Linked DNA regions of Tribolium castaneum. The protein of the gene in region 2 interacts with the protein of the main gene of each other region in a biochemical or structural test. Links are inferred from orthologs where the notes say so. Each region holds a gene or a part of one and is shown on either strand. Other genes may lie near its edges. The genes, in order: epsilonCOP and alphaCOP.

What was found.
Region 1: the proteins of alphaCOP (region 2) and epsilonCOP form a complex in vitro, tested with the Homo sapiens proteins (3 studies listed by BioGRID, with this or other methods). The link is inferred for Tribolium castaneum from reciprocal best matches to the Homo sapiens genes COPA and COPE.

The regions. Positions count from the first base shown.
Region 1 is NC_087397.1:2,371,901-2,375,100, forward strand, and holds epsilonCOP (coatomer subunit epsilon), read right to left. Parts: upstream 1,724-3,200; 5' UTR 1,665-1,723; coding exon 1,563-1,664; intron 1,517-1,562; coding exon 1,070-1,516; intron 1,010-1,069; coding exon 785-1,009; intron 728-784; coding exon 590-727; 3' UTR 501-589; downstream 1-500. Other genes in the region: uncharacterized protein LOC103315197, read left to right, coding at 2,043-3,068. UniProt on the Homo sapiens protein: The coatomer is a cytosolic protein complex that binds to dilysine motifs and reversibly associates with Golgi non-clathrin-coated vesicles, which further mediate biosynthetic protein transport from the ER, via the Golgi up to the trans Golgi network.
Region 2 is NC_087403.1:711,285-715,116, forward strand, and holds part of alphaCOP (coatomer subunit alpha), read right to left. Parts: intron 3,088-3,832; coding exon 2,940-3,087; intron 2,886-2,939; coding exon 2,618-2,885; intron 2,563-2,617; coding exon 1,594-2,562; intron 1,544-1,593; coding exon 1,333-1,543; intron 1,275-1,332; coding exon 1-1,274. UniProt on the Homo sapiens protein: The coatomer is a cytosolic protein complex that binds to dilysine motifs and reversibly associates with Golgi non-clathrin-coated vesicles, which further mediate biosynthetic protein transport from the ER, via the Golgi up to the trans Golgi network.

The DNA.
Region 1 (3,200 bases), on a different chromosome or scaffold from region 2:
CAAATTTGGTGACTGTTGTGTTCTAGTTTAATAAAAATAAGGAAAAAAGATTATTTTCGGTTTAAAATTCTCAAAACTTGCAAAAATAATGTCCTTTTTGACATAATTATGTGGTTTATTGGCTTACTTTTTAAGAAATTTGTTGAAAAAATCACCAATTTGAGTTTTATGGTGTACCAAACATTTAACAATAAATTCAACATTGGAATATTTAAGACGGTTATTGCTTGCAGAAAATGGAAATTAATTGTCTTATAGTTTAAAATGATGCCAAAAACAAAAAAGTAAGTACACATTTTTTCTATTTTGTACTTTGTAGCCGTATTTGGAACTTTCTTTTGCAATAACTGTTGTCACCGAATATTTTAATACTCCTGACTTATTTCAATTTTTTTAGTCATTTTTTTTTAATATCAACGGTTTCGGATTGTTTTGGGAAAAAACGAATTACGTTTATGGAATGTGGATGTATCATTGGGTTTAAATCAATAAAAACTATAATTGATTATGGGCTTTATTTTTCATGTAATACAATTAACTTAAACGTTATATAATTTTTTTACAGCAAATAATAACTTTTTCACACATTTTACGTCGGAATGGTTGAAACTGAAGGACCATACTGTTTACAAATCCTTGAAAATTCACTTTCTTTCTGTTTTAAGTCTCTAATGTATGGATGATCTGGTTGAGCGTCTTTCAACTGAGACAAATACCTACTTGCAATCTAAAACAAAGAAAATAATTAACAAAAAATGTTACAAACAATTTGACAATCAATTACTTCAGGCGTTTTCCCTGTATGTTTATGTAAAACGATAAGATTGATCAAAGTGTCTGGATAATTAGCATCTTTGTCTAAAGCCTCCTGTAGAGCAGCTTCCGCCTCCTCATACTTCCCCTGACCTAGAAGAGCCACAGCTTGGCCATTAAGCAGCAAAGGTGTAGCCCCATATTTTTCAACCAATTCCTGATAGATATAATAGGCGTCTTGCAGCTTTTCCCCACCCTGTAAAAAATATTTAACAACACAAATTAGTGGTTAATTATTAATAATTTTGCGACCTACACTCGCGTTATTGACCCACGCCTGTGCCAACTGCGTTAACGTGGCATCGTCGTCCTTCTCCTGCATTTCCTTCAACTTCTTCCTGGCCAAATCAACGCGATCAATCTTCAGCAAAATATCAATAATAAAAGCCAAAGCCTCCAAGCTTTCAGACGCGTGCAAAACGCGGTATGCCGTCTCTAGATTGTTCTGATTAACGTATATTGTCGCGGCCACAAGTGCAAGAGTGTCACTTTCGACGTTGGAGGCCAGCTTCTGGTCTATTTGGGCGACAATAGACTCGCGTTTTTGTTTGGAGGATAAATATTCAGCCAGGAGTCTTAAGGGCTGGATTTCCTCGGGTGAGGACGGCTTGATTTCGTCCAGCACTACCAGGAATTTGTTCTGGGCCATGTATGAGCGGTAGGTGAAAATGTCGCGTTGGATGGCCACCTCGGGGGTCGAGGGCTGGAAAAAATATTGAGCAAGCTAATTATGGAAAAGTGGTAAAAACCTTGCGCAGTTTTTGTGCCTCATTTATGCACTGCTGATAATTTCCAATGTAGTAGAAGTTTTTTATTTCAAATAATTCGTCGTCGTGTTGCTGACGCGACATCTTGAACGTCAAACTGACAGAAACTTAACCTTAAATGGGAACGAACTGGGCTTTTATGCTGTGTATATTGGCGGCCTTGCTGCTTAATAATTCGGAAATTCGTCAAACAAACGTACACAAAAATAAATTTTTTACTAAACTTAAGCTTCCTCCCAACTTGTGTGTCAATTAAAATAAAAAAACAGTTAAAAAACGTCTGTTTTTAATAAAAAAATCGTCCGTCTGGTGATTTATTTTTCTGACGTTGGTCGTGGTCAATTAAAGTTACTGGTCTTTAGTTTAAAAAAGTCGTGTTTTTGAAGCTTATTTGTTCTTTGTAAGATACAATTTGTTAAGTATAATCTTCACTTTTGAATAATTTTATTGTTTTAGCACAGAATGGCGTCATTCTCTGTGATAAATTTGCAAGGTTACGAAGCCATAATCCACGAGAAACTTTTCGCAAACATTAAGCAATTAACTTATGTTTATCCACCAACCCAAGACTTCCATGAGGTTTTCAGGGAAGATATGTTTAAAAAAAATAACAAGGCAGCCTTCCAACAAGTCACCAACTACCTTTTCAATGTCCTAAGTCCTGAGTTGACCAGAGAAAAGCTCAAATCCTGGCCCCCATACGACACCAAAGGAGAGCGAGAGTTTAGACAAGAGGTGGTGGCATTTGTTGATTACTTGAATGAAAATTACAAAGCGGCGAACATTCCTAAGCTAATGCCATCTCTTTTTGTTTCACCTGGTGGCATAAAGGTGGCCAAATTCATGTTTAAATTGTCGACGTTCGTCTTGCATGAGCATTTAAAAAAGAACATGAAAGAGGGCAAATTATTGTCTCCCATCAGACCTTGTAAAAATCCAGCCGTTAATGCAATAATTATAGAAAACTTGAATAGAACAACGTCAGTTATAAAAAAAAGAACGTCAGAAACTGCCACCAACTTCCACAAATTCTCGGCAGAGGCATTTGCAGAAGCCCAGCGAATTGTGGAGCAAGTGGAGAGGATTAAAAGACAGGAAATGGCCGAAGTCACCAAGGCGTTAGACGAAGAGAAAAAGAAAAATCTCGAATCAATTGATTTGGAAAAGTTGCAAGGAAAAATGGCACAAATGGAAAATATTAAAAGCATGTGTGAGAGAGCAAACGAGCTCCTGGATGTCATAATGAATGATAATCAACTGGAACTTGATAAAGAAAATACTCCCGACTTGGATTTGCTGCAGTTGTTCAATGATTTAAATGAGTTCCTTGAAAAGGAACGTTTCCAAATACCAACTTTGTTACAGGAAGATATGAAAGATATGGTTCAACGCTTGTCAGAGCTCACAGAAAACTACAAACAACTTATCATTAATATGGAGCACGACAAGAAGGAACTCGAAAAATTGGCAGAAAATTCTGTTATCTAATAAAGATTGAAATTACTTTACATTTTTTGTACCATAATAATAAAAATAAATTTTTTGTATTACCTTTGTACTCGTTTTATTCAATCTTATTACATAGCAGGATGTGCAGAGAATAAAAACAAGTTTTCCGTG
Region 2 (3,832 bases):
TCCAATTGCGCAAAGGATACGTAAAGTTGGATGGCAAGTTTGGTTGCCACGTTGTGCTAGTTCTAGATCCGCTATACAACGACATGAAAATACTTTCATACGGTTCAAAATTGACAATTCCTAATTGGTCATGAAGCAGCCGACAAGCCGATTCAAATGATCCAGCCATGACATGATCGGCCGCAAGTTGTGAATTTTTCGTCCATGCAAGTGTCGGGTTAGGCCCTTGAGTAGGCAAATGAACGAAACTTTCAGCTGACTGTTGCGTTTGCGACGGCCCCAAATCAGGAATTTCCAAATCGGCGTCTTCAACATCCCAACCACCTTCACCATCGGCTGGAGCCGCATCGTCAGACTTACGTTCGTTGTCCACGTCAATCTCCTCATCGTCGTCACCCCAACCACCGACCTCCTCATCCAAAGCCTCAGTGGAAGGTTCAACCATCAAACTTTTTATATTCGAACTGGCTTGGACCATTGCGTTAGTCTCGAAGAAGCTACGACTGACTGTCAACAGCGGCCAATTACTCTCAGCTTGTTGAATTGGAGGTGGAGGAATGAAGAATTTTGCATTGGGGTCCACATCGGGCACTTTTTTCTCATTTCCGATCAAAATTTTTAACTCTTCAGCTTCTTCCTCGTAGCCGTGAGTTGCAGCAGTTAAATACGCTAAAGACGTCAGGTTTGACTGCTTCAAAACTCTTATTCTTTCCTCAACATCACCAAGTAACAAAGCGCCATGATACTGCGAAGAGCGCGCTTTGCGAATCTCAGCAATTTTCGTCATTTTGCGCAACTTTTCCAAATTTCCGGTGATCAAATAAAGAAATGACAATTTCTCAAAGCTCTTGGTTCGTTGATAGCACATTTCAACCACTTGGTGGTTACCGTGCCACAAAGCGGTTTGTGCCAACTGCTCCCAGCAAAGTTTATCGTTTAAAGCTTTAGCCGCGTCTAGTGCTATCTCAATGTTACCGCATTCAAGAGCTAAAGTGAAACGAGTTTTGTCATCTTTGACAAAGTGCAAGGCCACTTCAGGGTAACCCTTTTGTTGCAAATACGAAATTATTGCTTGACCAACCAAACGCGAGTTTTTGACCATGAATAAGACTTCGTCGTAGCGGTGGTGAATCAGTGATAATTTAAACTTGTATTCTGTTGGATCAATTGTTAGGACACGAGGCTTGCATTCACGGTCCAAGCAAAAAACATGCTTTCCTTTAACTCGAGTGATGTAAATAGGCAAGTCGAGAGTACGAATGATCCCATGGTCCCTAAGTAAAACAGCAGAATTTAATTTTACATTAAAATTTTTTTATAGAAAAAAATTACCCATGGATCAAAGTGTATTTAATATGATTGCTAGTGGTGTAAATAAAAACACCCGAATCATCCCAAGCCCCTGACTTGACTCTTGTATTTTCGTGCAGGGAGCACAATACTTCCAACTTTCGGTTACAAATAGTAACTGTATGTTTAGCCAATAGTGCGATGAAATTCATATCGTGAGACCAAACAACATAGCGGCATTTGTTGATTTTAACTGAAATAATCACAATAGACTAAACGACAGTTACGATAGATGACTAATACCTTGATCTTGAGTCCGTTTCCTTTGAACATCAAACAAAGTCAGATGTTCCGGATCTCTCAGTAGTAGCATTCCAGTCCCAGCATAAAAAATCTCATCACACGGTGGCGTTTGCACCTTTTTGTGGACCTCATTTTTCAAATTTTTGATGACAAGTTGATGTGACCTGTCCAAGACGGCAAACCGATTTCGGGCGACCCAAATCGCTGTCAATCCTGATGATCTTTTGCTTTCGGCTTCCGGGACTTGATCATCACGGTCCGACTCTTTCGCGATCGTATACAAGTCGTAAGTGCTGTTATCCAAATTCGAAGACCGTATTGATAACAAGACGGCATTTTCGGCCGGGTTGAATGACATTCTAAAAACAGGAGTCTTGCCGCCACCTCTAATCTGAAGTACAGGAACGTCTTTCGACGTATTGAAATCAAGTTTGCGTAAATGGCGGTCTTTAACGTAGTAGAGGAAGTTTCTATGTACGGTGTATGCCGGTCTTTCACGCTCTAGTTTGAAAATGATCATGCCTGTATCATGACCGGCCGCAAATAAATTTAAATTGGGATGAGCTGTCAATACCCAGAACCGGTCATGTTCCCTTCGGAATGTATGCAAATAGTTGCGCTTGGCCATATCCCAAATCCGGATGCTTTTATCCTCACTGTTTGACAGAAGAAGTTCCTGACGAGGATGGAATAAAACGCACGAAACGTTATTGTAATGGCCACGGCATGTATCAACCTCCCAAGCTTTGGAATCATTCATTCTCCATAATTTAATTTGGCGGTCATCAGCCCCGGAAACAATGAGTGGTAAAGTAGGGTGGAAACATGCCCAATTTACTCCGCGATCATGCCCTTCGAGGACATGTTTGACAACGGCATCAGCTTGCCCAAACAAGTCGGTACTACCGGGATTTTTTAAATGGTCCTCCAAACCTCCGGGTCCAGGAGCAACATTCTTTTTCCGCAATCCTTAAAACAAAATTATAGAACGCGTTATAGAACGCTATCACATGATAAAATCTACCAGAAATGTCCCAAACGCGGACAGTCGAGTCGAGAGAAGCGGAAACAAGTAGGTCTTCAGAAGGGTGGAATTGCGCACACATGACGTAGTGATTGTGTCCGGTGAGGACGCAAATGCAAGTCCGACTTTGCCAATTCCATATGCGAATTGTTTGATCGTCGGAAGCCGAGACAATCCAAGGGTACTCATGATGGAACATTGTAGTACGAATGTAATCGAGGTGACCGAGAAGGGTGAAAATGCATCGTTTTTGTTTGTAATTCCACACCTAAACAGTATCGTTAGTTGTGAATTGGAATTTGATATTAAATCAAACGAATACTTTGATTTTATAATCGTCACCACCAGAGACGAACAATGGCTGCTGATTATGAAAACAAATGCCTCGGACAGGTCCATCGTGTTCGTCGAATTTTTCAAGTAAAGTACACATACGGTAATCCCAAAGTTGAATGGATCCATTATGCAAGCTGAATTAGAAAAAAGAAAAAAAAAACAATTTATTAAACGTTGCAAAATATTTAATTGTGGGTAAATCGTAAAAGGTCGAATTTAGTAATGTGATGATTTATGGAGCAAGAGGATATGTAAAATGTAGATCATTATTGTTTCATTATCTAAATAGTAAATTGCCAAATAAATCTGGTATTAGAGATGTGGTCTGGGCGTTGGCCATCTCGTGTTGTCCTATGATCTACAGAAGGAAAGGTCACTTTCTTCTCTTTCTTCATACTGTACTTCATCGATTTCCAAAAATTCTGTTACTTGAGCCACTTATCGGAAAAACAATAAAGAATAATAACCGCTTGCTCACCTTCTTTTACTATAAAATTAGCAACGATTTTAAAAACTAAAAAACTGTTACGAATAAAGTTTGATCGCTAGATAGGAAATATCAGTTGTCCTAACAACTTTATGAATAATTTGAAATATTATTTTTATGAAACAATGTAACGCATGAGTAACGGAAATTCATAAGTAGGCATAAACGTAACACTCAATTAAAACAAATTAATTATTTTGGACAATATCAGTGACACCTCGAATGTTTTTTACACAAGGTTAGACTCAAGCTAAAAAAAAGTTTTTGTAAAAATCGGGTTTTTTGTTTATATAAAACTCTAAATTACTACAATTATACATGATTAATAACCGTAAATATGAATGTAAACTTTTACCGATAAAAAAAGAGGAAAATTTTCGCGATAACTATCG